4 linked regions of the Saccharomyces cerevisiae S288C genome follow. Changing the gene in region 2 together with the main gene of any one other region gives a genetic interaction. Each region holds a gene or a part of one and is shown on either strand. Other genes may lie near its edges. The genes, in order: SPO73, DTR1, HSP32 and YCL049C.

Region 1 (7,540 bases), on a different chromosome or scaffold from region 2:
TGTTAATAATAGAGTAAATAAGGGTAAAATGCAACGAACACAAGCGCTTGTAGTCAACTTTATCACATAAATGTTTGCCATCTCCCTGGTCGTAAAAGTTTTGAAGCCATTTTGGATCGTTTTGGTTCTTCTTCAATAAAATTCTATTAAACAGAAACTTGGCGATGAAATTGAAAACATGAACGTCTATCAGTGTCCTCTTAAAAGAAGAATCAGAATCTATGCGATGCGAATAATGAGAAACTAACAAGATTTGGAGTGTTTGAAACACTTGCGATAACCCTCTAAAGTCAATTTCTTTTGTTTTTAAGCTCAGGATTTTTAGCAGAATTTTATATCTCGGTAAAAACCAGTTGTTTATATCAGCAGTTGATACATCTTTGCTAAATGATTGCAGCTCCTTTAAACCAACTGCATCTTCGAAGCTTTTGTACTTATTCTGGCAAAGGAAATTGTATATAGGTTCCAGATGAGCAAACAGTGATTTATTATTCAAAAATCCATTTTCGAAAGGCGCAACCCATTTGTATATATGTTTTGAGTTTTCCCGAGGATTTATTTTTAAATTTTTTTCACTCTTGAGAGCACCTACATCTTCGACATCTCCTTTCTTTCTTGAAAGTGCCCTCTTCCACAACGTAGGATTCCTGGATTGAATTAAAGCAAAACACTGTCATAGATAATATTCGAGGAGATTACACCTCTTACTAAAAGTTAGTAAAGAGAAAATAGGTTAAGGATGTGACAATTTCACGTACGATTATCCAGTCAACTTCCGATGTTTCCTTTTGTTCCATATCTTCCAGTTTGCCTCTACTCATGTCCTTACTCTTCTAAAAGATTATTTAATGAAACTGTTTCACAACTACAAGATGTTTGTTATGTTTTCTTTTACAAGTCGGAAACATTTAGCCGCCCAGCAATATATATGACTCCGAAAGAAAATGAAAGGAAATACATACATAGTAAAATAAATCGTTTAAACATAAATAATCGTACAGAGGAAAACATTAAGGAAGGAGAGTCAAACTAATGTACTGGGAATTTGGATCTCCCATAAGAAGTATGCGCAATACTTTTATTCATCATATAGACTGGAGCTGCGTATCATTTCTTCAATCATTTTCAGAAACCCGTTAACATCACTATCCTTGTTTTGAAGGCTTTGATAACTATTATTACCACCATTAATTGTGCATTCTTGCATGTGCAACCTCGAAATTTTCTTCATTTTTTGAACCAATTTTTCGTAATTTTCAATTTTTTTCTTCATCATTGTGTTTTCTTTGCTTATTTGGTCAAATTCCCTTTGAAGTTGTAATTGTGACATTTTCTTTCTCTGTCGACACTTGGAAGCGGCAATTCTGTTTCGTTCTAGTAGCCTTGCACGCTTCCAAGCTTTAGCACCGTCTTTCAAGCCTGCAGTATTGTTCTCTATTTTTTGGGGTCTAGCTTCCTGCTTTATTTGGAAGGTTGCTGTAGTGTGCATAGAGGAGAAGGGCGCGGTATGTACGTCTTTCTCACTATTAATATTGTTTTTCAGTGCAGAAGTGGCATCCTTGTATTGTGGTTTTGAGTTGGCATGTGTTAAATTGACATCAGGGCATTTCGATTCGTATGGAAGGCTGCTTGAAATATTCAACTCGGCATTTTGGCAGGAATTATTAACAGTGTGGTGATTAACGCCATGGGAAATTGAAGAATGGACGGATTGATTTTCGATATTATGATCATTAATGTTTTGGCAGGAAGAAGAAGAGGAAACGGAAGAATTAGAGGCTGGAGTACATGGATGCACATTCAATTGAGCGTTTTTCCATGCCTTAGTTTGCATTTGAGCTTGTAATCGGAGTTGCATGTTGATGTAAGCCTGATTCATTGTGGAATCGCCAGATGGGATAGAAGGCGTGGCAGAAGGAATGTCACAAGTGGCTGCTACTGCGGGTATGTTAAGCTTTATATTGCTATCATACGGGGTCATTGCAGCGTAGATATTCTTGCTACCTGTTTGAGGTGCAGCTTCGGGTATGACTGTAGCTTGTTCGTGTGGTTGTGGCACGTTTTGCAATTCGTTCGAGCTAAAGCTTGGGTATATGGCTGCGCTTGGATTTGCCACCTGTTGAGGATTGGGATTCTGTTGCGCCTTAGACGATAGGATCGGAGGCTGACAGTTGTAAAGATTTTCAACCGTTTCTAAGTCTTCGCCTAATTGACTAATCTGACCATTGGAGATAGATATGCGTCTTTTGTACACGGGCTGATCAAACGCTGGTAAAGAACTTTGAAAAATGGGAGGGTTGGTAATGGGAAGATGGCTGATGTCGACGCCAAAGGGTTGAAACATTGGACCCAGGTTTTCTTGCACGCTACGGTCATGCAAACTGTTTTGGTGATGAAAATTGTAGGCAGAATCCACAAGACCAGGACCCGATGGTTGTTTGTATATAAGCTCCTTGTTTGAAGATAGAAAATCTGTATATAAGAGTGGGTTCTGCCTTCCATCTAGGAAAGAATCTGGACTTGTAGCAAAATTATGCTTATAGTCCATACTTTATTTGGTTCCTTAGTCGTTACCTGGTGTTATTCCAGTACTATTAATATAACTCAGTACAATTAGCTGCCGTGAAAAAAAAAAAATAATAAGAATACAGTTTCTGCGCTTTTAGTCGGTAAGCACTCAGATTGAGAGATCTAGATTTACTATATTTTAATAATAACCAGTTAAAGCAGATTTTGAAGATGAACTAACATAAAAAAAATTGATGAATTATGTAACATAATCTTCTGTACCACCAGGGTAAATCGCCAAAGAATATCTGCATCTAAGAACAAAAGAAAATGGTGCCCTAAATATCTTTCAGATGAAAAACTAATTATATATCACTACTAAAAAAAGCCAGAAAAAGAAAAAAAGTAAAATAGAAAATAGAAAATAGAAAATAGAAAAATAGAAATTAAAATTAAGAGCATTTTAAAATTAAGTCTACAAAGTAATACTTGGCATATTGCTTAACTCCTCACGCAGAGCCTTAGCGTACCACTATTTTATCTGATACCACAAAAAGCTGCGCTTTGATGGCCCAACGGGGATATAATCGCGCCACTGCTACTCATGTGCTGCAAACTAACAGTGCCAGCAGAAGCGAGCATTGAAAAACTAAACTTTGCCTTGTTCTGCTTACTTCATGCAGAGGTACAGCTTCGATGTCCTAAGGTTGAACATCATCTTGCTTCGATTTCGGTAGTAATCATTTTGCCTGCACGCCATTGTATGAATCTCGTGCCACTCCCTTTTTAACTCCGAGATACAACTTTCCGTGGGGAAAAGTACCGTAGTATTGTAATTTCGAGAGCATCTTTACGGTAATTGCCCCTCCACACCCAGACGTTACACAACCCTTAGTAAACAGCTGCGGAAAAAAAGTGTGCCTACGCACTGTACGACTCCTGATTGATTCCTTCATTAGCACTGACTGGCTTACGGTGCACATAAGTTATTAAGAGCAGTTTAATTCAGTTGCTGAATAGTCACGTTGATGAGCACGAATACCTGAAACACCAACGGTAATGAATCAATTGGCCTAGCGCATCGTTGTGTGCTTGGGTGTGCCGCACAATGGCAACCAAATACTGCTCGTTCCTGCACTTCGAAAGAAAAGCAGCCAAAAGAAAACGCGTTTTCCTTTGCGAGCGCTGGTTTGTTCCTCAGTTTGATAGAGGCGTTCAATTGGCAATTTGGGCACTAACACCGATGATAACAAGATATCTTGACTTTGACCTCTGATATTGAGGCGTTCCAACCAATAAGAGGGGCTGACGGTTGAAAATAAGGGTAAAAGAGAGCTATTCGGGTTGGGTCGCAGATTAACTTAGAAAACATGTACATGCAAATGTTGTTTTTTACGTACAGAAAGAGGCTGATGGAACCAAAGGAAGCAATAATTTGCACCTTGATATTTTGCGCTTTCTGCTTTTGAAACCTTATTATATGCCTTTACATATACTGTCACGCGACATTTTCACCTTCTACAGTGTTTAATGAAAATCTGGCTTGTGTGCATTATCTTTTTTGTGAAAGTTTATCTCCGCTTAAACAAAGCGATTGAATCTTGTCTACGTAATTGGGCTCGTGGGACCAAAAGGCTACTATTTTCCAGGAAATTGAAGACTTTGCAATCGTAACAAGGTTTCTTTCATCGTTAAAATACAATCATACATAGAGATATATGGGCAAAAACCATTTCTTGAAGGATTTCTCTGCTTTACCGGAGGACGTACTCATAGAAAACGAGAGAGGCATAACTTTACTTGGTTACCCACTATTTTCTCCCAAGATTTTACTGCCTCACGTTGACCCACCACAATTTCAAAGACTAAACACTGAAAATGGCTCGTTAATTGCCCTGTCGAAAAATACTATATCGAACTTCATAGAACTGTATCCTATCGATCTGAGTACTGAACGCACTGCAGGCAGTAGCAGTTCACAGATGACAAAGTGGTTCGTACTGATGGATTACAAGGAAAAGTACGATATTGACGATCAAGGATGGTGTTATAGCTGGAATTTCAATAACTCTAGGTGGAAATCGAAAAATGGCTTGGTGAGAAGAAGGGTCTGGGTAAGACTACCTACGACCAGTCATGGATTAGATTAGTAATAGTTTACGCTAATATTAAATTGTTTAACAAACTAAGTAGTCAAAAAAAAGAAAAAAAAAAAAAAAAAAAAGAAAAGGTGACATTATGCAGAACATATTTTATCGATCCGCTTATGTGCACACAGTTTGTCCAGCTAGGCTAGAATATTATTTATTATTACCATTATTATTATATTATTATTATTATTATCATCATCATGAACCTGATGATCCGAATTGTGAAGCCCACTTTTCGTACTTCACTAATCCGTCCTGGGATACAGAGGGCTTGATATACACTAAACTGTTCTTAAAATCCACAAGGCCTATGGGTCTTATCATCTCCCTCTCTGTTTCTAATAACTTATCACCCAGATCTCGTAGTGGGCCCATGGCAGCATCCTTCGCTAAAGACGTTATATCACTTCCTGAATAGCCCTCAGTAATCTTTACCAGTTCATCAAAATCTGATTCGGTTAACGTGTGCTTTTGATGGGAAAGAAGCTTCTTAAATTGAACGTGTCTGGTCTGGTCCTCTGGTAATGGGATATATTGTCTTCTCACAAATCTTCTCCTTGCAGCCTCATCAATAGACCATGGTAAGTTTGTCGCGGCAAGTACCAGTACCCTTGTATCATCTTCGTCGCCATTGGTGTCAGAATTGTTAGTGTTACTTTTGTTTGAACCAGCCGCTGCGCTGGACAAGGATGACCACTGAACAAGAAATTCATTCTTTATCCTTCGGCTTGACTCATTTTCATTTTCGTTATTCCTACTACCCATGATAGAGTCAATTTCATCAACAAATATTATAGAAGGTGACAATTTTTTGGCAATTGCAAATAGTGCCCTCACTAATTTTTCACTTTCACCCAAGTATTTAGATGTCAAACTGGAAGCACTAATAGAGAAAAAGGTGGAGTGCGACTCTGTAGCTACAGCTCTCGCTAGCATTGTTTTACCTGTACCTGGTGGTCCAAATAAGAGCATCCCCCTGACTGGTTCACGTAACCCCCTGAATAAGTCTGGTCTCAAAAACGGATAGACAACTGCTTCCTTCAAAGAATATTTTGCACTTTCTAAACCAGCAATATCATCCCAATGAACTTCATCTCCGTGCACTACGATTTCGGCAAAAATTTGCTTTGCAGCTTGCCTATCTACACCTTGTAAACTATCAATAATTTCATCTTCTAAAATCTCCCTCAGGACTTTCTTGTCTATTTCAGGCTCTTCTCTTTGCTCATTTAGGGAAGTGGCATGTTCAGTGGCATCTTCTGTTCCAACATCTTCTATTTTTGGAGAACCGATTTTTTTTTGTGCTGGTATTTTTCGATTCGTTTTACTCATAGACGTGGTTTGATTTTTCGATGGCTTCTTATTCTGGGATGCACCATGCGAGTATGGTTTTGAGTTACTTACAGGTCTGGAAGGATGGCTACTCGTTTTCTTCGAACTGGAATTTGGGACTTTCGCCGTTTTGGATTTCAAAATGGGGTGACTCTTCTTCGTAGTGTTTAATGCGGGGTTACTCGCAACCTTTTTGCTGTTCAGAACTCTCTTAGCAGCCATTGCAGCCGTTTTGGGTTTTTGAATTACTGAATTTGGAACAGTCAGAGAAGAGGTCGGAGACGATGCATTGGATTTGATGATTGGTTTTGTATTACTTTTTGATCTTGTAATAAATGTTGGCGTTGATTTAGTGATAAGAGTGGGCGTTGATTTGGTACCCTTTAAGTATGGTACGTGATTATTCTTCATTAATTTTGATATTTGAGGATTCCTAATCTTTGATGAATCCATAGTAGTAGAAGTTTCTAAACTATGTGGCTTTAGAGCGCCAGTGCTGGACGCTCTATCGACATTTAATAAAGGAGGTGGAGGTAATGAAGGAAGAGCAGGGGCGGTAGTCGGCAGGGACTGTATGCATGATCCGGGAACATTTTCTGAAGAACTTACACTCTTATTACTGGACGTAGAAGAAGTAACAGACAAGTCAGACATTTGCTGTTGAATTGCTTCTAACGTTTTTATACGTCGTCTTTCCTCTTTTTCTTCTTCTTCTTCTTCTACGTCGACTTCGGAGAAATTATCATAGTAATCGGACACATCAAACTCGAAACCATCACTTTCTTCTTCATCAAAAACGTTGTGTCCTTTTAAAATGCCGACATCGTGATCATCCTCGTCATTAGTCAAATCTATCAATATTGGCTCTGAGATATATTTATCTGAGTACAGTTCAGTTTCCTTCTTAAGTGGAGGATCATTGTGCTCAATAGGGTTCTTGTGCTGTCTGCTTGCATTGTTGGATAAAGGCTTAGAAGGTACAAAATTTACTCTAATGTTCTCCGCATCTTCTCCGCGTTTTATCGATGTGCTGTTACCATATGATGATAGTGAGGGGTTGGAGTATGCGGTTTTATAGCCGCATGCATTTCTATTTCTTAATGTTTTCATCATTCTTCCGGGAACCATTTGGAATACAGGAGGTGGTTCAGTAGACCTTGTGAAAGATGAGCTATGATTAGTGTATGTTTTGGATGACGGCATATCATTCCTGGGAGCAGGCTCTTCTCGGACCAATTTTTTGACTCTTTTCAAATGCATAACGCTCTTGTGGTACAATTCTCGAATACCGTTCTGTAAACTAACTTCATCTTTCGTGTATGATTGAGTATTTGGGTAGTTATGCTCTATCAATGTCTGTTTGAATAGTACATCAGTGGTAAGCGCTTTCCATCCTTGCAATGCTTCTTTATATCGTTTTTTCTCTTCTAGGTTCAAGTAATATATTGTCTCATTGGCAATTCTACTGTAAAGTTCTGTAAAGTCGGTTAACGGTTGTTGAGGTCTTCTCCGTATCTTGGTTAATCTCGTTAAAATATGATGGCTTCTTT
Region 2 (8,996 bases):
TGATTTATCGCCCTCTTCTCCCAGATAGTTTGCCAGCATCGTAGCACCAAAAGAGCATCCCACAGCGTATAGTTTTCTATCTGGATGTCTTTGCTTTTCTCTTTGCAAAAACTCGCGAATATCCATTGTGTGATAAGCTGTAAATAAATTTCTGGTGGTAATTTTGGAACGTGCACAACCTCTGGTATTTAGGACGACCACTTGAAATCTCCCACTGCGAGACAGGTTTTCAGCAAGAGATCTTATAATCGGCTCATGACTACCACCAGCAAGACCATGTAGAATAACTACTAGGGGTAGATCAACCTCCCGTAGTTCTTCCAACTCATTATCTTTCAGGTACCTTGTACGTGGTTGTAAACGAGGCCATCCTTCTGGATGTGTCGCCTTCTCGTCTTTATCAAATTTTTTTTTATCAAAGCTCGTAGTACTTTGATCGAATTCATAATCCTTTTTCCATGAATCTATGAGCCAGTCAGCGGTGCAAACTCCACCATCCGAGAATTTGACAATTTCCCTGCCGTAGAATACAGGAAATTTCTTAGAGAAATCAGCAGCACCTAAGTACAAAGTTTGCAAAATACCTGTGAACAAGTAAGGACTCAATTTGAATTGGGCACCATTCTTCAACGTTGGGACATATTTGTTAGCGAACTCGTCAAAATCAACTTGCTCCTTGTTGTCTTTTAAATGGAGTTTAATGGAACCATTTTCACCGACAATATGCGAAACTGTACCATTGTATCCCCAATGGAATGGGTTGATTGCTGGCCATTTGGAAACTTCTGACATATCGGAAACTTTTATGAGCTTTGTTTTTTACGCAACTACTATCAATGTAATAATAGAACTTAAAAAACTGCTCATATTAATAATAAACGGAGGAAATACTCGAGGAGCTATTACTTCCAGGGACATCCGATATCTGACGCCTTTTAAAATCTGCACATGCGCAAGATTTAAAAAAAAAAAAGGATCTCGGAACCGGAACGAGATTGCTCATTTTTCGTTCCGTTTCCGCAGGTTTTGCAAATCATTAAGCAGATACACAAGGGTCCTTTTAATGTTTATGTAATTTCGTGCAAAGTGAAAAAAAAAATGGACCTGCTTGGAATAAAATAATAAGTAACATTATGTATATTGATTTGAAAAGACCTCATATATTTACAAGAATATCTAATCGATGTCTAAATTTATTTCTTCCACCATCAATTTTTGAGCCACGGTTCCTTCGTATAGAGATTGGAAGAATTTGATTGACAACAAGTTACTTTCTTTTTTGTTTTCCAATTCTTTCTTAGTGATTTGTTTTTTATCCATAATTATTTCACACGACCTTAGAATTTCACGTGTAGGTACACGCAAAACATCACGTACTTCATTTGAGGTTCTTTGAGCGTTAAGATGAATGTAATCCAGTTCTTGCAACTTTCTTTTGTATTTAATGGAAAGATTCATTGGTAAGGCACGGGGGAGGTCATGAATTAAATACGTAAGTCCCAACAAGGAACCTACCACTATAACCGGAACTGATAACTTCTTGAGTGAGCTCCACGACGATAATTTAATGCCGTTTAATATAATGTTCCCCACAACCTTTGTACTTCCTAGAAAGTACAGCGTTAGAGTGGGAATTTTTGATGTGAAGAGCAATGATGGTCTTGACCAATATTGTGTCAAAGGATAATTTTTCAAACCCAAATACTTCATTAGGCCAATCTGACCCTCGTTAGTTTGTCCTTCTATATCCGGCAGTGGTGCTGTGACAGGTTTCTGCCAGCTTAAGTAAGACAAAAAGCCTTTCCAAGTTGGAGCAAACAAATCAGTTATTGACAAAGATACTTTAAGCCTTTTTCCTATCAAATGCTTCCTTTTTCTAAACATTAGTTCGCTTCTGAAAACACGTTCACACATGAAATCATCACCAAGTTCATTTTTTCCAATCTCATAAATTTTTTTTACCAGTAAATCTGTCTTTTGCTTGGCAAATAATTCACTTGATCCTATTGACTCATCAATCTGATTTGCTATGAACGCTTCTGTTGAAAATATGAAGTCATAAATTTGACCGAGGCCCTGATATTTCGGATATTCGTGTAGCGGAACATCCAACGCATTGAGAAGTGCTTCTTTAGTATTGTTATAAGTCATTGTAATTGTTTGCTCGGCCATTTGATCAACGGAAGTTGTTAAATCATTGCACTTTGCTCTAGCGCTCAAAATTTCAGGTCTCAATGTTTCCAGTTGTTCGTTAATTTTTATTTCTTCTTCACTATACATTTTCATATTAGATTTGGAGATCATTATTATATCGCTTAATAATTTCGATAGATAAGTCTTGGCAGGTAACAATTTAGAAAGTGATCTTTTCTTCAAAACAAAATTGCGTAGAGAATCTTCCAGACTGTCAAAATCCGGATCGGGATCGCTGCTAGAATATGGGTCGTCGTCAGGTTTTCGGTCACCATGATCTTCATTGTCATTTTCATTATGATAATGTGGCAATTCATCTCCGTTTTTGGAAACAAAGTGGACAAAATCAGCTGCACGTTTATATGTTTCTGGGGACAGGTCACGGATTTGCTTTAGGATCAACTCCTTACAACGTTGTTTGTCCCTGATTTTGTCAAATTTTTTCACAACAAAAAACATTAATTTTTTCTCACGAGATGCTAAAGAAATAAACTCCTTGGCAGATAGTGTTAGCTGGTTCTCTGCATTGACAACAAATATAACTAAGTCGATTTCTTCTTGTCGGGACATTACTTCGGCGGTTTGTAACGAGTCCATGTTCAACCCAGGGGAGTCAATTAATGAAATATCAACAGTACCATTCCTTAATAGACTAGTAGAGGCAGGCCTTTTATCGTCCTTTATGTAAATCTTCAGTAAAGCATATTTTCCGTTTTGGGGAACCAAATCGGGAAGTTCTTTCAAAGTGTGTATTTCATAAGTCTTGGGATTTTGTATTGAATACATATCAATGGCTTCCTTGAGAGTCGGAGCAATGTTTAGTGGTATGGCATGAACCTCCTCTATGCCGTCATTTTCCCGAGCCTCTAGTATTTCGGAAAATACATTGGTACATGGTAGCTGATCCTCAGGTAGCAAACGCTGCTTTAATAGAGAGTTGCAAAGAGCTGATTTACCAGTATTTACATCACCTGTGATGAATACTTTAGATGAAACGTCATCCACTCTTTTTTTCAAAGCGTTTAAATGATTTGTCACTGATACGATCTGAGAGTGAAATAATTTTGATAAAGCTTTTTTCTCAATGTTGAAACCGTTCTTTTCTTTGGTATTGTACTGACCATCTAGCTTGATATTCAGTTGTAGAACATGTAATTTTTCCCGTTCATCATTTGCAGCAATAAAAATCGGGCGAATATTATTTTCTTCTTGAAGTTGATCCATAAAAGCTTGTGTCTTTAATATAGATCTTTTTAAAAGTACTCTATTGTTGTTATAATTCCACTGGCTAAGTTGTGAAGAAATTAAGTGTGCTTTTGAGTTGGAGGAACGCAATGAGGGCAACAAATCATCCTCCCTACGCCCCTCTTCACCATCAAACAAAGTGGTACGGTCATCAGTTACTCCATGGAAATTACTGCCTAAAAAATGACCTTCGTTGCGTGAGTAAGTAAGAGTTTGTGGTACTATTGTGGCGGCATCATCGTCCTGATCTGTGGAGTCCTTGTGCGGTTTATTGCTGTCTTTGAATTGTTGTTTTCCTTCAGACATCGTTAAATGAGCCTACCGTTTTGCCTCTATCCGTGATATCAGATAATGTTGCTATGTTCGGATGTACTTTGCTTTATTTATTAAGGGCTACTGTAACCTGCGTTATCCTGTTTCAATAATGCATCGTCCGTCTTAATTAATATTAGCCCGGCCATATTCTTCAGCATGAAAAGCTGTATTTACCCGGACTGCGCACCAACTTTTAAATATTAATCTCCGTTCGGTCTTTGCGCGAGTTATTATACTAGCGCCACGTATTAGTAATACTATAGCTATCTTGCCAGATAAGGGATCACAAGGAATTATATACCGTGGATCACAACTATCCATATCACTCTTCCCAATTTCGCGGAGAAATACTTATGCAGGTTTCCAAATCATTTCCGTAGCCAAAGCTGCCTGTTGGCCACTGTTTTGGCATCTCTCTACATTTTTTTTTTTCATTGATACTTTCAACCCAGACATTCTGTCACCTGGTGAAAAACGACACAAACTCCTTTGTAACAACAATTGCAATTTTAAGATATATGAGAATATTGATAAGGCTAGAAGGATGGTAGTAAGAAAAGTTGTTGTTGGTAATTTTTCAAAAAAGAGTTTCAAGAGCTGGGAAAAGAATTAAGGCAATGGGAAGCGAACCGTTTCAGAAAAAGAATTTGGGTCTGCAAATTAATTCGCAAGAAAGTGGAACAACCCGCTCAACATTTCATTCGCTAGAAGATCTAGGAGATGATGTAATTAATGAAAGCTGGGATCAGGTGAACCAAAAGAGAGCCAATATAGATCATGATGTCTTTCATGAGCACCCTGACTCTTCCCCATCATTGTCAGCACAGAAAGCAAAAACAAAAGAAGAGGAAGTTGCTGTAAAGTCATCGAACTCCCAGTCAAGAGACCCTTCTCCTGATACTCAAGCACATATTCCATATACTTATTTTTCCAAGGATCAAAGACTAATCATTTTTGGAATTATCATTTTTATAGGATTTTTGGGCCCAATGTCTGGAAACATATATATACCGGCTTTACCATTGCTGCAAAGGGAATATGATGTAAGTGCAACAACAATAAACGCTACAGTTTCTGTATTTATGGCTGTTTTTTCCGTTGGTCCATTGTTTTGGGGCGCACTGGCGGATTTTGGTGGAAGGAAATTCTTATATATGGTGTCGTTATCACTAATGTTAATTGTTAATATACTTTTGGCCGCTGTACCAGTCAATATTGCTGCCCTTTTTGTTTTAAGAATTTTCCAAGCTTTCGCTTCCAGCTCTGTGATTTCTCTGGGAGCTGGCACTGTAACAGACGTTGTTCCTCCAAAACACAGGGGAAAGGCCATAGCGTATTTCATGATGGGTCCAAACATGGGTCCTATTATAGCACCCATTGTTGCTGGGCTTATTTTAATGAAAGGAAATTACTGGAGATGGCTTTTTGGTTTCACTTCTATCATGACAGGAATAGCATTGATCTTGGTTACTGCTTTACTTCCAGAAACGCTACGTTGTATAGTTGGTAATGGAGACCCTAAATGGGGTGACAAAAAAGATGAACGTGAAAATAACGAATCTCCATTCTTCGAAGGTAATAAAATATCACATCGGCGTCTGTTCCCAGACATTGGTATCCGTAAACCAGTCAATAATGATGCTTTCTTCCAAGAAAATTTTCCAAAGCCGCCTAAAGCAGGTTTGACACTATATTGGAAAATGATTAAATGTCCTCCAATAATAATCACGTCCGTCAGTACTGCACTCCTGTTCTCCAGTTACTATGCGTTCAGCGTCACGTTTTCGTATTACCTTGAACATGACTACCGTTTTACTATGTTAGAAATTGGTGCTGCTTATGTCTGCCCAGGTGTAGCTATGTTACTAGGATCTCAATCTGGTGGGCACCTCTCAGATTATCTTCGTTCACGCTGGATCAAAAGTCATCCTAAAAAGAAATTCCCGGCAGAGTTTCGTTTATTACTGAACCTAATTGGAATTTTACTAACAATATGTGGCACAATAGGATACGGATGGGCAATCTTCTTTCATTATCATTTTGTGGTTCTTTTAGTTTTTTCCGCTCTCACTGCCTTTGGTATGACCTGGTGCAGCAACACATCAATGACATATTTAACTGAGTTATTCCCCAAAAGAGCTGCTGGAACTGTTGCTGTTAGTAGTTTCTTTCGAAATGTGGGCGCTGCCATTAGTTCCGCTATCATTTTACAGCTCTGTAACGCAATGGGAATTGGATGGTGTTTTACAGGGCTCGGTCTCTGCAGTTCAATTTCATTGATTGGTATATTATATCTTCTCATTTTTCAAAGAAAATATACTGCCAAAGAATTTTAAGAAATAGTTTATGTTTAGCTATAAAATTTAACTTTTAGAATTTTATTATATTATTTAACTTTCAAGAAAATTTTCTCATCACTCATCCCAAGGACTTCAAGAAATAGAACAATGCATCATAAGTTTATGAATTACGTGCATTTGGACCTTCAAAGAATAAAATCGAAGTTATAGTTAATTATATTAAATTAAGCCAAAAGTACATATATCTAAAAGGAAAAAGTATAAAAATTATGCAGGTCCAAGACATACTTAAGCCTTCAAAGAAGAAGCTCTTCTCTTTCTGATTTCGGCCTTTTCAGCCTTTCTTTCAGACAATCTCTTAGCCAACAATTGAGCGTATTCGGCAGCAGCTTCTCTTTGAGCTTGAGCGTTTCTGACCTTCAAAGCTCTTTGGTGTCTCTTTCTTTGCAATCTTTGAGGAGTAACCAATCTTTGGATCTTTGGAGCCTTGGTGTAAGTCTTTTCACCCTTGGTGACTTCTCTTCTGATGACGAAATCACGAACGTCATCTTCCTTGGACAAACCGAAGAACTTTCTGATGTTGTTAGCTCTCTTTGGACCCAATCTCTTTGGAACAGTAGTGTCAGTTAGACCTTCCAATTCTTGTTCACCCTTCTTGACAATGACCAAAGCCAAGACAGCCAAATCTGGACCAACAATGGCACCTCTGACGGACTTTCTCTTTCTTTCACCATCACGTCTTGGTCTGTAACAAGAAACGTTCTTGGTCAACAACAACTTGATTCTAGTTGGCAACAAAACACCTTGCTTCATTGGGAAACCTTGTTTGTCGTTACCACCAGAGATCTTGAAGACGTAGCCCTTGAATTCATCACCAACGGCTTCACCATCGACTTCTTGACCGATTCTCTTGTCGAAGAAAACACGAATACGGTGTTCATCATCAATTTCGAAGGTCTTTTGAGACCCGTTGACTGGGTAAGAAATGTTCAACTGTTATAAATAATACCATTTGTTAGTAAAGTTGTCCGAAGCCAATATCGACAAATTCCAACGAATCCCTGCTGTCCTTTCTTCCGTTACAGGTTTTTCTTATTTTCATTGATATTTCTAAACCCTTTTCGTAAATTCCTTTTTCATTCCTTAATTTGAACTTAGCGAGATATTTTCCTAAGTGTCGGTACGTGTATATTAGAGGGAATTATCTCGTTTAAACAACGTTGTTCTTGAGAATTTTTATTATAGTGCACTAATTTGTGGGTATACGTTTATCAAACAGTCAGAAACAGCCGGTTAGCGCGTGCTGATTCATTAGAATTCTAAGGATTTGGGTGATATTACATACCTTCATGATGGCTCAGTCGTCTATTCACACTGGATAGTTTCAATTAATGACTTCCAAATGTTTTGAAGGGCACACTATTCAAATTAAGATCACTTTTCATAAAGATGAATTTTTCTCCCATCAGGCATTCATTGACCGTGCCCTACAAACCAAGCCAGCCGAGATTGTATCAGCTCCACGCACATAGGATTTTCGCCTGCCCTTGGCCCATACCGAAAGAGTTTCCTAGGATGATGGGCCGGCATGAAGATAAGCGGCCTGTATGCCCGAGACACTGAAAAAAAACAGCAAAAAAATAAGATGTATGGAGTTCAAAGATGTATGGATGCAAGAAAAGAGGTTAATGGTGCAAACTGTAGAAAAAAAAGTAAGGAAATAATTTATTTTTAATAAAATTAACTGAAAAGATACATGTATATTTTTCTCAAATTAATCAATGCAATATGTGATATATTTGCTATCTGGCTTAATGAGATAATTTTTTACATAATTATGTTGAGAAGTTAACAGGGCAGTCTCTATTGTTTTGATCGATTGAGTGCACAAAAATTGGAAGGGGGCCGTGGAGCACTACCTGCAAATTGCTAGAAATTTGCGTCACTACATCTGAAAAATGTACGAGCGACATAATTGTCTATAGCCCTAATTTAGAAGACGTTTGCCTAAATGCGCCAACATACACTCTTAATTTTAAGCGAATGCTTTCTTGTAGTAAAAAGTAGCTAGAAAGCGATTCATTAATCTGGAGAGTTTGTCGAACTCGTGGATTTCAAAGTTGAACTAGCTACCGAGGAAGGAAAAACCACAATAGATGAAGACGGGCTTTTCGGAAATTTAGGCGGTCTTCCAATTGGCGGTTTCAGAAAGAATGTTTTGTTATTTACATAAGTGCTGCCACATCGGCCATTATGATATAAGTCGTCCATATCATTGTTCTTGAATCCCAAAAACTTTGAACGAGAAAGAGGGGAGGACATGTTGCTGGCGAGCATTTGATTGGGAGTGGCTTGTACATCCGTTTTCGGTGATGCGGTTCCTGAATACATTGCTGGCGACCTCTGGCAAGCGTCATTTGTGGCCTTCGGAATATTTAGCTTTAAATATGGCTTCCCTGAGAGCTTTCCTCTATTGCTGTTCAGTTGGTGCAGGTGATGGACCATCGCCTGCACTGGAGCTGGACCTTCCAAAGTATTTGATATAGCAACTGTCGGGTGTATCTTTTGCTTTGCTTCAAAGCTCTCGCTGTCACCCGTCCCATTAAATCCTTTTCCCATTGGGTTACTATTTGCCGGAATAACCTGTACAAATTGCGATTGAAAGGATGGAATATTGCCCACTAAACTTGCAGGCAATGAAGGCTTTGGCAAATTCTCGTAAGGCGACGGGTAAAAATTATGATAATTAGAGTGGTTAGATTCAGAAAGTAGTAAATGAGTATCCGGCCTAATCCTCTTGTTCATAAAATTCCTATGAATAGCCTCGTTTGCAACATGCTGTTGGTCTACGCTTTCTTTATAATCATTAGCATGAAAACTCCCACCAGAATTTAAACCGCCTTGCAACATTTGATAATCTGCACTATTTCTTGCACAGTCAGA
Region 3 (7,813 bases), on a different chromosome or scaffold from region 2:
ATATAGTTGAAGTATCTCTATTTATACCTATTCCTTCATTGGTCATCACCACTTAAACGATTCGTTAACAGATGCTCCTTTAGCACTTCACATATTCTCCATATCTCATCTTTCCCACAACTTCATGATCACTATGAAGATGTTTTTGTTTTTAAACGAGGCATGCATCTTTATAGATTCTGTATGCGAAGGTATTGTTTTCTGGGGCCTTTGTCTATTCGTATGCGCCGAATGTGAGAATGCCAGTTATAGGGGTGCCGAGGTGCCTTATAAAACCCTTTTCCGTGCCTGTGATACTTCCTTTTTTGGTATAGCAGAATGTCTGAATTTAGTTGCTATAGATCCTCGTTCAGAAGCGTATTGCTAAGCCTATCTCCAGTATACCCTAAACGATCGCCGAGAAAAAATAATACTGTACCCTCCTATTTCCCGGAATTGTACAGAATAGTAGGTATGTGCTGGGAGTCGTATATTGTTAGAGTCTGTAATTTTTACGCGCGCCTAGTGGATTCGTTGATACGATTACGTTATTCTAAACCGTCGCAAAGCAAATTGTGTTGAAGTAATTCAAGACTTTAAATCACTTGTACCAAAATCATTGTTGCGAAAACTTATCCTCAGTATTAGTTTCTTGACCGTAACAGTAGTTGAAAAAAATAAAATCATTTCTATGATCGATACACTTTCATTATTTAACTTCTCTATTATGGTGTAACTTCTTACTTTTGTCAGAAAAAAAGATTTCAAGACACAACAAGAATGGGGTCAAAGGTCTGCTTGTACTATCAGGAAGATTTGATACCAACCGCGTTATAAGGGTTACTAGAAAGTAATAGCTGCTAAAAAATTTAAACCGAAGAGATTAATCAGAAAGCTGAAAAACTGCAGTGTTAGTAGAGTTGTAAGCATTTCTTGATTGGAACAGCCTTCCCCCACACGTCCACCCTTGTTCAGACAGATTCGTAATGATTTTGTGTGTAGGCAATGGAAAACTTTAAAAACGGTTTGATTTCCTACAAGATAAAACATATGAATAAAATAACTTGTGTCAAATGCCCCATTTCCATACTGTAACCCAAATCAACGAAATAAAAAATAAAACCTCATATGATTTACTTTATTTAGTCATAAAAAAACAAAAAAAAAAAAAAAAAAAAAGGAAACAAGACAATCCTTTATAGTTTGTTTCCATCATGAAACCTATGACCAGCATATATACAATCGTCCCCCAGTTCCTCTTCGATACGCAAAAGTTCATTATACTTGGCCAGTCTTTCTGATCTCGACAAAGCGCCCGATTTAATTTGACCACATCTTAAACCAACGACCAAATCAGCGATAAACGGATCTTCGGTTTCACCTGATCTATGCGATATCATTACACCCCATCCAGCATCGAAAGCCTGATTGGCGGCTTCAATAGACTCAGTCAGAGTACCGATCTGGTTGAGTTTCAGCAACAGAGTATTCGCACATTTCTCCTCTATAGCACGGGCGATCCTGGTCTTGTTGGTGCATGTCAGGTCATCTGCAATAATCTGAACATTGACAGTCTTTAGGAAGGCAGACCACGAGGACCAATCATCTTCGGCGTAGGGATCTTCCAGGGAAATGATTGGGTATTTCTTTAGCAATGAATGGTAATATTCTGCTAACTGGGCTGGACTGAGCCAGTGAGATGGGTCAGAGTTCGGTTCCTTGAAATTTAGGTCGTATTTCCCGTCCTTATAAAAAACAGAAGGAGCACTATCGATTCCTACTTTCACTCTACCCTCGTAACCGCATATGTTAATGGCTTCCACAATCATGTCCAAGGCGTCTTCGGCAGTGTCAATATCGGGGGCAACTCCACCCTCGTCACCAACATTTCCAGCGGAAGGTCCATATTGCTCCTTCGCCAATATCTTCAAATGATGGTAAACTTCCGAACCCATCCTCATGGCTTCTGCAAAGCTCTGAGCCCCGACTGGCGCGATCTTGAATTCTTGCATAGCTAAAGAGCCACCGGCGTGGGCTCCACCATTCAAAACATTGAAAAAAGGAACAGGAATAACAAAGGGGTCCTGTCTAGCATCCGCTAACTCGGCTATATACTTGTAGAGAGTAATTCCCTTTTGTGCGGCAGCAGCTCGAGCAACGCACAAGGAAACACCAAGGATAGCATTGGCGCCCAACCTTGACTTGTTAGAAGTTCCGTCTAACGATATCATGAGCTCGTCTATGCCCTTCTGATTGGTTACACATAATTCGGACTTGATTAAAGCAGGCCCTATGATACTATTGACGTTACTGACTGCCTTGGTCACCCCTTTTCCCATCCATTCGGACTTGTTCCCGTCTCTAAGTTCAACAGCTTCGTGAATGCCGGTGGAGGCACCAGATGGGACGATCGCTCTGAAGAGACCATTCTCTGTTGTAATTTCAACCTCAACAGTCGGATTGCCGCGAGAATCATACACCGTTCTAGCATGTACCTTCGTGATGGACATATTTTTATCGTTGAGATTCGATTTTTTCCTCACCTTGTTTTGGTATTTCTATTGCAAGACAAAGTGAAAGAAGAAGAAGTGGTGGTAAAAAATAACTATATATAATGAAAATTGTAACCTGGTGGGAGTGCAAACTGTAAGTGATAACCTGCCAGATCCATGTTTCTATTATATACCTAAGAACCAGCCAAGTTAGGTAAACGAGGAGTCTTTCAATATCTCTTTTCTAGTGAGAATGTTATTTAGGTAAATGAACAAGTTACCACTATACTACTCACCCCCTACACTTTGTTTGTGACCTCTCCCCTTATCCAGTTCATCGAAACTTTTTTTTCAACTTGTGGCGATCTGTGACATTGTCTACTACAAGAACCGATTTTGGTTGATGTCTGTAAAAAAAACAACCTTACCTTTCCAGATCCAACTTTCCAGGAGAGCTGCGTGAGTTTCAAATATTTACCATGTCGGAGAAAGCTCCCAAGTACTTCCTTGTTCTTGTCATTTTTTCCTTATCTCCATCCTTTAAGGAAGGTATTTCCATTATGCGATTCTATAAATCCGAGCATGCGAGTATTTCTTTTCTTGGCGCGGAGTCGCTGATGACGCAATAGGCACATTCACGAACATCCAGGACTGGTAATCTTCTCGTCTTAAAGAAAATCCAACCACCAGTAAGAAACTCTTGGGTAAAATGGGGTATCTGAAATATTGCATAGCTGCAAATGAAGATATTCAGTATCAGCATAGGTATTTTCATGAAGGATAGGTAAAAAGAAAGAAAAGAAAAATATCTTTTTGACTGTTGTTCTTGCAATTATCACAATTAGGGGACTTTAAAACCGATACTTGATATATGAGCACAGTCAAGGGGCCGGTTCTTGAGATTTTAATGGAAAAGAGGAAAGTTGCACATACAGGTCTGCTTTTCTTTGCTTGCTCCAGACAACGATACTTAGAACTAAAACATATTTCTAGAACACTTTTCTCCTTCATTCAAAAAGAAAACTGGCCTTGCAATGACTCCAAAAAGAGCGCTAATATCTCTTACTTCATACCACGGTCCCTTCTATAAAGATGGTGCGAAAACAGGCGTTTTTGTAGTTGAGATTTTGCGGTCGTTCGATACTTTCGAAAAGCATGGTTTCGAAGTGGACTTCGTTTCTGAGACTGGTGGATTTGGCTGGGATGAACATTACTTGCCAAAGAGCTTTATTGGTGGCGAAGATAAGATGAACTTTGAAACGAAAAATTCCGCCTTCAATAAGGCGTTAGCGAGGATCAAGACCGCAAATGAAGTCAACGCCAGCGACTATAAAATATTCTTTGCATCTGCTGGACATGGTGCTCTATTTGACTATCCCAAAGCTAAAAATCTGCAAGATATTGCATCCAAGATATATGCCAATGGGGGTGTGATCGCTGCCATCTGTCATGGACCGCTCCTTTTCGATGGATTAATAGATATCAAAACAACAAGACCATTAATCGAAGGCAAAGCTATAACAGGTTTCCCACTCGAGGGTGAAATCGCCCTGGGAGTTGACGACATCTTGAGGAGCAGAAAATTGACAACGGTTGAACGCGTTGCAAACAAGAATGGAGCCAAGTACTTGGCGCCAATCCATCCCTGGGATGACTACTCTATTACAGATGGAAAGCTAGTTACGGGTGTTAACGCAAATTCTTCCTATTCGACCACAATTAGAGCTATAAACGCATTATATAGCTGAAACAAAAGACAAGGGAATTGTTGAAGGGGAGGCTTCTAATGGCTTTCAGTTTCTGTGAAGAGAAGGCTAACAGCTCAATGGTTCGAAAGGTAAAGAAAACGGCAGGTCGGTAGCACTCGATTTTGCTAGAATGGAAATCATATAGAGAACAATTGAATAGTAGGCCTTGGTTTTTAGTGTTGTACTCATCATGGTCATATGTGACATAGGTAATGTACATATATATATAAAAAAAAAAAAAGCAATGCTGTGAGATCATTCGTTACTTACGAAATACGCAGATTGCAATTTGAAATAAGCTGTGTTTTCTTTTTTTTCCTTTTTTTTTCTTTTTTTTGGCTTGTTATATACAACTTTTTTCTATTTCTGTTCTTTTTAGAAGTAATTAATTGGTACATAGGAAATAAATATGAATTATATTAAATGAAGTAAAAGTAAAAGAAAACGGGGAAATTTATCGTTTTGTAGTAAATAGATGATGGAACGCATTCATAAAATCTCACAAAATATTACAATAAACCGCAGTAGTCGGTAAAAATGTATTATACAACGTCTAAAATCTTGAAAATGAATTAAAAAAAAAAAAAGGTGGGATGATTGTGCAGGAAAAGGTATGAAGAAAAGATCCTAACAAATCGGGTTAGTCAATCCTCTAGTCCAAGCATAGGATCCGAGAGTTATCACCAATAAGCAATATGAAATTCCAATCGAAACAGTATAATAAATAAGCATGTTAATAAATGATAGCTTATACCCTTCATTGATAAACGTGCTAATGGTACTCAAAGTGCCGCAAAATCCGGATATTAACGCAGAAACAATATGGCATGAATTCAACGAGTTCACAATTGGAATATCCGTGGAAAAGTGTTTTTTACCACGTTGCACCATGGTAAATATGCCAATCAATAAAGTGGCGAAAACGTTTGCCAAGAAAGTACCCAATGGAAACTTTTTGTTTGTTTTATTAAACATTTCTGCCAACCAATATCTTAGGAAACCAGCGAAAATTCCAAATAGACATGGTAGTGTCCACTTGCCCCTCGAATAGTTCTCATAATACGCACACAGCACCACAAACAAAATAATTAATGGAAAAGCTAGTGCGTACGCGAGTTTATCCACAACATCAAAAAATTTCTTAAAAAATGGTGCTGGAGTTTTGAATTTAAACTCTAGAATATTTTTTTCCATTTCTTGTGTATCAACATCACCAGCATTTTCCTTTACAGTGTCTGAGGGAGGGGTATATGGCTTCGAAAACGAACTAGATCCATAAGCAACAATAACCTCCTTACCAAGTTGCCTACCGAAAATAAGACTACCCATGGAAACCATAAGATGAACGAGCAAGACAGATAAAAACTCCATTATACCGTAAGCTCTGTTCGGCAGTTTTGTGTGGTTAGCGATATTACCGTTAGTTAAGTTTGTAGAGTGTTCGAACATCTCTAGCAGCATACTAGAAAAGGAAGACAGGGCACCACAGTACCCAGTAGTTACACCTAAAAACAAGACTTGGTGATCTTTCATCCAAGTGTAAGCATTTAAAGATTGCATAATCCCCATTAGCATGCAGGATGAACAATTAGACCAGAGAACGGTCGGAGCAGTAACGAAGGCCGGAGTGTAGGTGGAAAGCGCCGTTATAGCCTGACGTGTTTCAGTACCTAATATGCAGAACGTGGTGAATGTACAAAAAACATGAATATAATGGCTCAACTTGTGATTTGATATGACCGGATTGAAAATCATCAGAGCATTACACGCTCGATTAAATAATTAAATAACTGCAGATTCTTGAGCCACCAGACGCTAAATAATAATGGCGGCAATAAATATAATCCTTTAGTACTTATTTCAGTTGTTTTTTGTTTTATTTTTTCCGTATCTCTTCCGTATCTCTTCCATCATTGCGTCAAAAGTGATTTACACTGCTACATGAATCGCGCCACTTTATGTCAGTGAATCTTTCATACATCGCAACTCCTCACTGACAGTGACTCTAGCAGAGTCACCATCTTTTCGATATACCCATCAAAGTGCACGATTCTCCTCCCCTGTTAGACAATCGTAACGTAATATCGACATGTATTCGTAGCACCGCTGCCAAATAATTTTCAGATCGTTCATTGTACATGAACCAAGCGCTGTTGCTTTACTTTATGATATTGCTGCTGAGCTCCCTTGTCTTTCATACGACGTTTTATCTTGATTTCATATCTTTTTTTTTTGGTAAAATAGAAAATACTCAACAGATATCTGATATGTATATAAACACTAAATAAAGAAAATCTTAAATCTTGCTGGCATGACTGTCGCTGTGTCTCAAATCTCTTAGTAATTCATAGATGTGTATCACCCCAAATCTCAAAAACTTCATAATTATTATTGGATTATCTAGAAATCATACCCTTCATACTGTCCCACAATGGCCTGCTCACATGAGGCGCTAATGATTACGATTAACCATCAAATCATTTATATTGATACACTGTAGTTTACTGTTAATAACCAACCTTTGTCGAGATTCATCAAAGTGGGTTCCAAATCCCTCATTGTGGGAACCTGGTTCAGTCATACCCATTGGAGATGGGCCCCAGGAAGGAGTGTAACAAACTTCATCCCAATTGCATTGCCTCTCACAACGGTAATTTAGTTCAATCCACCCTAGAGATTCAATTAAACCATCGATAGTGGAGCGAGCCGTTTCGACATTCTTTATTAAGTCGCTGGAAGTTGTGTTATCTGTCATAAAAGAGTAGACTTCGGGTATCAATAAATCATTCACTTTATAAATGACATCAACAATTTCTCCGACAACGCTGACAGCAGATGACCAAATCAAAAAGTCTGCATCCGTTTTTAAGGCCTGGTATGGGCTCACATATTGGTAGACAAAAGTTCAATGTGAGTGCTGTTGCATTGATGGCAATTGACTCATTAATATCACCATCGCTGTTCAGTATGTTACTAACAGATTTTAGTAATGGAGCAAATTTAAGGACAAGCTCATCAAATGCTAACTGCCAATCCATACTTTGCGTGGCATCAAATCCGACTTCCAGCGCCTTTTCTAAGTCATCTACCATGTCCAATTGCTTTTCCCATGTCATTCCTTCATCGAGTAATCTTCTGTTGTTAGGATCAGGAGCAATGTACGTCCTGTTTATCCCGCTCACTAGGTACCTATAGTCGATATGGATTCGATGCTCCCCGTTGTCATGCGCTGCACCCGCTCTCAACTGATTGAAGCTTTTAACTGCGTTGAAATTAGAAAAAGCCTTCTCCCAACCATCTTCTCTTTCCAGAATCGCCTTTTGGTCATCTGTTAGCTGATCTTCAACTAGGCTTCCATTTTCATCCAGAGGCCAACCTTCTTCCTTCGATATTACGGTAGGTGCTGGTAAGCCTAGGTACTGGTTAGGCTGGACCATTTCTAACATTGAAACAAGTTCGACGTTATCAGCCGAAAAATCACACAAAACGACCTCAAAGCCAACCTCTACCCTGATAATTCCGTCAAGCCCGAATGGCTTCCCCCATTTGCATATTCTAGCAGCGTAGAGTCGTTCGGCCATTCGTTCGTTTTCA
Region 4 (8,256 bases), on a different chromosome or scaffold from region 2:
TGCAGATATAGGCTACTTAGTTGGTTTTGATACAATTGCTAGGATCTTTGATGAAAAATATTATCATCCTTTAAAAATCAGTGATGTAATGGAGAGCTTCATGTCGGGATCTCAATTATATTGCTTGGCGAGAGGCGATTGCCATCTCAGTGCTGAATCGCAACTAAGATACGCCAGTGACATCCTTGAGGGAAAATTCGAACCGGTAATACCAAGAGAATGGGGCGCTAGGATTCATGTTATGCAAAATGATTATCCAGCATTAAGAAATGTTTCATCATCCGAGATTAGGAACAAACTGAAGAATGGGCAAGTGGAGAGTTTGAAAGACGAGTTGCCATTGTGCATATACGATTATTTGATCAATAATAAGACAATATTTGATTGAAAGAGAAAGATAGAAATTCAAATGCCTTTCATGGAGATATATGTATATAGATAAAGATAATATTAGGAACAAAAAAAACTTTCTGTTATACTAGACTAGTAATCTTAAAACAATAACATAGCAACAAGGCATGTACCAAAAAGAAGGGGGTCCAATTGCATGCTTGGATTTGCTGAGTTCGCGTATTTTGAAATCACTCTTTTCTTGGAGTCTTCACCTTCTTGCGTTAAATCTTTGTACCCTTTTTCTATGATTGTACCATCCTGTTTAACATTCAGCGTATTTTCCTTCTTACCAGAAATACAAGTGAATTTCCCACCCCTGATGATTGATCTTCCATTTGATGGGTTTGTCCATTTATTGCAATCCAACACGTTTGATGAACTCTTAATAAAAGCGCTACCTTTCACCAGTTTCAAGCTATCGAACATGATATCTTTGAACGAACCTTCAAAGAAAATAGCACCTCCAATCTGCTTCAAGTTTGGCAGGAAAGTAATATCCTCGAGGGATTCGTTATCGGCGATCATCAAGCCACCTTGAATGTCTGTTAAGTTCTCCAAATTAACTTTTATTAAATTTACATTGTTGATAATTCCTAATGTTCCACCAATCTTCTGCAAATTGTTCAGGTTCAATTCGTAAAAGTAATTTTCGATGAACTCTAAAGAGCTTTTCACTTTTGTTAATTGTGGAAGGTAGACCAATGATGTGTCCCTAATCGTTATGTTTTCCACTTCTCTCAAGTGTGGCATTTCAAGTTCTAGCTCCTTAGCGTTCGCATGTACACTGAATTGTCCCCTAATGGTTTTAACGTTCGAATGAATAGTTTCTAAAAATCTGTTATTATTGATATTGAAAGTATCAATTTCCTGAACCTTGTTGAAATTCTCGATGTTTGCTAATGAAGTATCCGATATGACAATATCCTTTATAATCTCAATATTCTGAGAATCCATGGAGACGTAGTTCAAGATGGGAACAACTTTCCACTCCAGTGACTGACAAAATTTCAAAGTTGGAATTTCAACAGAAACCAAAGAGGTTAGTCCCTGTAATTGGAAGAGCCCTTCGATTTTATTCAAGTTCCCGGCTTGGATTCTGATCAGTTCAGGTGAATCCTGAATAATCAGGTCACCACCAATGGCCCTCAAGCTGTTCAAATCCAAAATGTTAGAATCATAGTTTGTGACTTTTAATGACCCCAAGATGAATTCACATTGGTTTTGTAAATGAAAAAGATCATGAGACGATTCAATGACGTGCAAATCTTTTTTACACAACTCTGATATCGGTGAGTTTGTGTTCAGACTCTTGACATCTATTTCAAAAAACGGTTCATTTGCTCTTCTTTGAAGTTCGAGATTACCGTTATGAAAAGGCTTCACATTATGTGGTCGCCTTGGCGGATCAATAGCGGCACCCAATGCATGTGTCACAAATAATGATGCAAATATAATCGCGAATAAACAACTTTTCCTAGTAATACGGTTCATAAGTCGATCAAGTAATGAAAAAATGGCTTTTGGTTTTCCTTGTTGTATTTCAGATGAGATATCTTACCAACAGAACAAGTTTCTCTATTGTATGTCACAAAAGGATATAGCTTCTCCAAAATCTTTCTTTTTTATATTTTTTTTTTTTTTTTTTTTTTTGAATTAGTGACGCATCTTCTGTACAGTAAAGAGAGAAAAAAAGGGTATAATAAAACAGTTAAGCTATACTATAGTAGCGCATACACACAACGTATATACATCTAGTATTAAATATTAGTAATTATTAAATAACGAAAAAATAAATTATGGTTGAAATAGAATCAAACGTAAAGAACAAAGAAAAAGCTTAATGGAACGAAAGTTAAAAAGCTCCCCAATTTTGAACAACGGTTATGGAATTAGAAAGAAAGAAAAAAATAAAGGAAATAAAAATGTTCCTAGAATAAGAAGGCAACACCGGCAGCGATTGCTGCTCCAAAGGCACCCGCCGCCATGGTATTAACTACGGCTTCGCCAATCGAAACTGTCGTAGTCACCGAAGCGGTAGGAAGAGTAGTATTTGGCTGCGTAGCATTTGGCTGCGTAGCATTTGGAGTAGTGGCGTTAGGTTCAATGCCAACTTGGGCGTTGATAGCAGTGACTGTAGCTAGAACAGCGACAATGTTTTTGATTTGCATTATTTAACGGAAGTATAAGGTTTGAAAAGGGAGCTTTAATTGTTTTAGCCGTTATCGATTTAGCGGTGAGAATGAAATAAAGAAAAGAGGAAGAAAAGACATTACATACAAATTTTTTTCAACTTAAATGGAGGTTATGTACTTTCTTATATAGATGCTAATCTTTTTTTTTCATCTCATCACAGATTTACGTCGTCAATCTACTAACTTCCCTTATCTTCCCTAAAGGGTATCTTACGTTTCCCCTTAGGGAAAATGAGTTTTGTCCCACCTTCCCTTTGGGAAAAGGCAATGTAAATCTTAGAGGCAAGAACCACACTTGTTGATAAGATCAGCTGCGTAACAGTGCGCTAGGCAAAGGGATGGAATAAGATAAATCCCTTGTTATCCCTTTGCTTTTAGTCTTATGTTGGGGAAGTCCACAAGTTATTGTTACATAAAGGAGGAGAAGAAAACTAGGGGAATATTTATAACACTCGCATTAGCTGATCGTAGGAAAGCAACACAAAACATATGCATCAGCTGGCCCTGTTTGTCTTGCTCATCGATTGATTTTGCAAGCAAAGCTGGGATACCCGAATGTGTATGGTTTTCCTTTTTTTGGTATTTTTCTCCTATAAACGAGCTTTTTTTCGTCTTGCATTCAGATTTAAATAGCTGCTTCTAAATATATACTTTACGCAAGAGGGTCCGGTCCCAATAGGAACCAAGCTATTGCAATTCCAGGGTTCAAGAGAGAAAAATCTGTAATCACTTCGAACCAATGTTTAGTAAATACCTCGTAACTGCATCTTCCCTCTTTGTGGCTTTGACCTCTGCAGCATCTACCGTTGATCTAGATGCTCTGCTTCTTCTACCAGGGGTCGAGTCCCACGACGGCGTTGATACTGTATTTTCGACCAAAGACTTTTATCAAGTGTCATTCGTCAAATCCATTGCTCCTGCTATCGTAAACAGCTCCGTAATCTTCCACGATGTTTCTCGTGGTGTGGCTATGGGCAATGTCAAGAGCAGAGCAAGTATCTTCAACCCAGAGGAAACGTATTACGATTGGGAACAGTACCAAGTAGTAAATAACGGAGACTGGCGAACCGAATGGGCACCTGCCTCTGACTGCATTTGGAGGGAGGAGAAGGATAACAGCGACGAAACACCGGACAGATTCCCCATCTCGGTGCCATATAATTGGACGTCACAGTACTCAATTGTAGATTATGACACAGACGCTAACGAAGACAATTTAGATTTCAGGTTTATTAAATCATTGCTAGATAAGAAAAATTGGTTGAAAAAAATTAACCAGACTGTTTCCCAATCCAGTATTATGGTAGCACCAATGATTAGGCCATACAATGTGGTCCAGCTTTGGTATTCAAAAGATATGGTTTGGGCAAACGTCCAAAGACAATATTGTAGCGGTGTTTATCCAGGAGGGACTCAATGTAGCGCTTGGTCCAGGTACTACCATGTTGATGCACCCACCTGCGATGAGCCTGTCGCCTCTTACATGACCAAAATGTTGGAAAATGAGGTTCAGTGTCCCAATGAGAGAAACGCAACTACCCTAGAGCCTCTCCGCCTGAATAAGCAGGGAGACTCTGATTTTTCTTTGACTTTCGAGGAAGAGGAAGAGGAAGAGACAGGATCTAAATCTCTTTGGAGTACATTGAAAAAAATTTTCTCTAAAAGAAGTATAAGTTGATCTTAGTTGGTAGCACTTTGATGAGGTCTCTAGCAAAAAGTCTACAAACAAATTCTTGAAAGTGTTTGATTGTATATCGATATATCAGAAACATACATATGATTTTTATCTTGTGAATATTCATCAAACTCCGTTTTTAGCCCCCGTGTAAGTTACTTTAATGAGTATTTGATCCTTTTTTTTATTGTGTTGGTTTTTATATGTTTTGTTATGTATTGTTTATTTTCCCTTTAATTTTAGGATATGAAAACAAGAATTTATCAAAGAAAAAAATCTTAGCTTTAAGAACTACAAAGTAAATAAAAAATAATAAATCACACCGGACAGTACATGAAACTGGACATATTTGAGGAATTTCTTTTGAAGAGTTGAGCATTCAAACTGGCCGGTCTTGCTGTGGCCTCAATCCACTTGAGCTCCAAAGAAGGCTCTGAAATGCTTATTTTTTTCAAGCGATACAAAGTAAACAGTTACATACCTGAATGATACTACCACAACTATTTACATTATCGTCCTGTCAAAAGGCGAATAATCAGAACTGTTTGTTAACATGTCATTTTATAAGAGCGGCCTGAAATACTGTCATAAGTGGTCTGTCGAAAGTAGTTATTACGGCGTCGGGCGTCGCGAATAGCTCAAAAGTCACCCCAGCTTACACGATATTCCCATAACCTACAGCAAGAAGCTATTCTTGGATACAAGCACCAGTTACAAGCACTGCATTCATATATTGCCTTTTACTTTCCTATTCTGTATTTGTGTGCTAAGTGTCCTGTTTCGGAACGTTCTAGAAGATTTTCTTATTTTTCTCTTTTTCAGTTTTTTTTTCATCACGCAAAGGAAATACAATACAAGGTTAAAATGAAGGAACTAACATTACTATTATTTCCAATTTAAAGTTTACCTTAAAAGACAATAGATTGATCTTGAAAGCCAGTTTAGATAGATTTTAGAACAAACAGAAAAGTAAAAATTAAAATAAAAATGAGTATCCCCGCTGACATTGCATCTTTAATTAGTGACAAGTACAAAAGTGCCTTCGATAATGGTAACTTAAAATTTATCCAGACTGAAACAACGAAAACAAAGGACCCAAAAACCAGCATGCCATACTTGATTAGTCACATGCCAAGTCTGATCGAAAAGCCAGAGCGTGGCCAAACTCCAGAAGGAGAGGATCCACTAGGCAAACCTGAGGAAGAATTAACGGTTATCCCAGAATTTGGTGGTGCCGATAACAAAGCGTATAAATTGCTATTAAACAAATTCCCTGTAATCCCTGAACACACTTTATTGGTAACTAACGAATACCAACATCAAACTGATGCCTTGACCCCAACCGATTTATTGACTGCTTATAAGTTGCTGTGTGCCTTGGACAATGAAGAATCCGACAAGAGACACATGGTCTTTTACAATTCTGGTCCAGCCAGTGGTTCTTCATTGGACCACAAACATTTGCAAATTCTGCAAATGCCTGAAAAGTTCGTCACTTTCCAAGATAGACTATGTAATGGTAAAGAACATTTCCTACCAACTTTCAATACTGAACCTTTGCAAGATGCTAAAGTCTCGTTCGCTCATTTTGTCTTGCCAATGCCGGAGTCTGAAGAAACTGTTGATGAAGACCTATTAGCTATGTGTTACATCTCCATATTGCAAAGAGCTTTGACCTTTTTCCAGGACTGGTTGAACGAAAATCCAGAACTAAAGAAATCCTACAATCTTATGTTAACCAAGGAATGGATCTGTGTCGTTCCACGCTCGAAGGCCTTTTCTGATGAAATGAAGATAGGTTTCAACTCCACAGGTTATTGTGGTATGATCTTAACCAAAAATGATGAAGTTTTCTCCAAGATTACTGAAAAACCTGAATTGATTAACGATATCTTATTGGAATGTGGTTTCCCAAACACTTCTGGTCAAAAACCAAACGAATACAACTATTGAGTCCTTCACAAGTACAAGTATACACGTATACATGTATGTATATATATGTATTTAAATGATAGAAGTAATTTCTATATGTATATGTCTATTCAATTTTTATTTCTGATGACTTTGAAATTTTATATTTATTATTCTACACTTTATTATTAAAACTACATGCAATCAATGCCGTTAAGGTTACGATTCACCTTTTTATTACTTATTATTAATATTGTTGTATTACTTCCTTGAAAAAATATGTCTAAAGAGTCCTAATTTGGATTTTCTTTTCCTCCTAACTTCACTGTCCTGCGCCTGCTTTCCTAACGCATCATCGCTAATACACCAGCTTTCATTGCTTGTTGCTGCGCTGTTGCTCGCATGGAACGTTTTCAGTGCGTCATCATCCTGGGATAAACTAAAGACTAAGTCACCAGTTTCATTTGAGGCTTTTCTCTGCGCGTTGACAAAAGAGGACAGATCAACCATATCACCTGGTTCACCCATGAGAATGTCCTTACTTAGTTGCGAATTGGTTCTGATCTGCCCTTCAGACTTGGAATATTCATTACTGTCATTACTTTTAAGCCTATTCATTTCTTCCTTGCCATCAGGCGTACAGGATTTGACCACAGAGTGTTGAAGGGGTGCATCGTCCGCTCTCGTAATAACCCCTCCGATACTATTTTCATTGTTGACACCGTTGACTGAAAAGGGCATGGACTGTGCATTAATGTTTTCATTTTTCATCATATCATCATATGGCATTTCATAATGTTGACTCTTGTAGTTGAAGATTGAGTTTATCGTGTTACTGTTTCGTCTACCTTTCATATTATCAATCAGGTTGCGGTGTTGCATGTGGGAGATAGGACTGCCCGATCTTCTTCTTCTCGATTCTCCACTAAAATCCTGTCTTTTATCGCTATCCAGCACACGATTAAGCTGTGAATTGCCGCACTTTTTAGGATAACCATCCTTGGCATATCTAGGGTTATCTTTTAGTGGAAAATTATCACTTTCTAAGTTAATGTCCGCATTGCTGTCATAAAAGGATACTGGTGTTGCGGGAGTAGATGCTAGTTTAGAAGGGGTATAGGCCAGGGAAGAAGGTGTCATTGCCTGATTGATTGTCATTGAAGCAGCCGACCTTTGTTCTTTTGGAGATTGCGAGTCACAGCCTACGGTCAAAGGTAGCTGCTTCGTATAATGATAATATCTTTGCTTTTGGCCTTTGATCTTCAACGAATTGAATGTGTTGGAATTCCGTGCATTGGCGTTTTGCATCCCATGGTTGTGATGGGTCGGTGACCCATTGAGAGCTGAATCATCTACATCAATGGCCTGTTCAGATACACAAAGGGAAGGCCGCAGTGGGGATAATAGTGCTGTTGGAAGCTTTTGCTCATAATATTCATTTTTCGATTCTGGTTCAATTAAGGAGTCCTCTTCTTCTTTAATCATAGAGTTAGAACCGGCTGCACAATTGCCCTTATCTACCATAACCTCCAAATCAGGAGGAGCGGATTCAGATCTTCTATGTGATTTAAATGACCTAGGCCTTGTCTTCAACGCATCGTCAAGGTTAATAATGGCATCTGGGACGCCTTTAACTGGCGATGAAAAACTTGGCTCTTCACTAATGAAAAATCGTGGACTTGGTGTTTGCAGATTGTTCTTTGGTGATAACGGATAAAATCTTGGTTCAGGCAAATCTAACGTTCCAGCGTCTTCATTGGTTTTGCAAGGAAATCTATTGTAGCGTATTGGCGATAATGTACTTGATACAGCAGTTGGGGCAGTTGAAGGACAATTTTCAGCCGCCTGTGGAGGTGGTAAATTCACAATTGCTGCAGGCTGTTTCAAAAAATCAAAATCTCCTGATATTGCTAGCGATCTGCGATGGCGGTGACCTCTTTTGGATGGTGTAGACAAAGTATTTACAGGATTTGGCTCTGATATTTGCACATGTTGAGTATGCGTATTGGGCATTTTCCTATTCTGAGAAGGAGTATGAAATAATTGCCGAGGGTTCAGAATGCTCTTTTAGAAATAAAAATGAAT

The links.
Region 1: of DTR1 (region 2) and SPO73, changing one suppresses a phenotype caused by changing the other (phenotypic suppression), as found in Saccharomyces cerevisiae (one study listed by BioGRID).
Region 3: mutations in DTR1 (region 2) and HSP32 together harm fitness more than expected from each alone (negative genetic interaction), as found in Saccharomyces cerevisiae (one large-scale study listed by BioGRID).
Region 4: mutations in DTR1 (region 2) and YCL049C together harm fitness more than expected from each alone (negative genetic interaction), as found in Saccharomyces cerevisiae (one large-scale study listed by BioGRID).

Annotation. Positions count from the first base shown.
Region 1 is NC_001137.3:238,954-246,493, forward strand, and holds SPO73 (Spo73p), read left to right. Parts: upstream 1-4,226; coding exon 4,227-4,658; downstream 4,659-7,540. Other genes in the region: MEI4 (Mei4p), read right to left, coding at 1-670, 759-821; ACA1 (Aca1p), read right to left, coding at 1,079-2,548; putative AAA family ATPase SAP1, read right to left, coding at 4,857-7,540. UniProt on the Saccharomyces cerevisiae protein: Required for spore wall assembly and ascus formation. Involved in the formation and elongation of prospore membranes.
Region 2 is NC_001134.8:585,371-594,366, forward strand, and holds DTR1 (Dtr1p), read left to right. Parts: upstream 1-4,370; coding exon 4,371-6,089; downstream 6,090-8,996. Other genes in the region: EHT1 (medium-chain fatty acid ethyl ester synthase/esterase), read right to left, coding at 1-792; FZO1 (mitofusin), read right to left, coding at 1,177-3,744; 40S ribosomal protein eS6 RPS6B, read right to left, coding at 6,342-7,046, 7,399-7,404; SMP1 (Smp1p), read right to left, coding at 8,136-8,996. UniProt on the Saccharomyces cerevisiae protein: Prospore-specific dityrosine transporter responsible for translocation of dityrosine through the prospore membrane and required for the formation of the outermost layer of the spore.
Region 3 is NC_001148.4:8,382-16,194, forward strand, and holds HSP32 (glutathione-independent methylglyoxalase family protein), read left to right. Parts: upstream 1-3,505; coding exon 3,506-4,219; downstream 4,220-7,813. Other genes in the region: seripauperin PAU22, read right to left, coding at 1-46; phosphopyruvate hydratase ERR2, read right to left, coding at 1,176-2,489; FEX2 (fluoride transporter), read right to left, coding at 4,847-5,974; YPL278C (uncharacterized protein), read right to left, coding at 6,672-6,974; YPL277C (uncharacterized protein), read right to left, coding at 7,024-7,813. UniProt on the Saccharomyces cerevisiae protein: Catalyzes the conversion of methylglyoxal (MG) to D-lactate in a single glutathione (GSH)-independent step. May play a role in detoxifying endogenously produced glyoxals. Involved in protection against reactive oxygen species (ROS).
Region 4 is NC_001135.5:35,793-44,048, reverse strand, and holds YCL049C (uncharacterized protein), read left to right. Parts: upstream 1-3,324; coding exon 3,325-4,263; downstream 4,264-8,256. Other genes in the region: POF1 (nicotinamide-nucleotide adenylyltransferase), read left to right, coding at 1-388; SPS22 (Sps22p), read right to left, coding at 493-1,884; YCL048W-A (uncharacterized protein), read right to left, coding at 2,322-2,561; APA1 (bifunctional AP-4-A phosphorylase/ADP sulfurylase), read left to right, coding at 5,248-6,213; LRE1 (Lre1p), read right to left, coding at 6,433-8,184.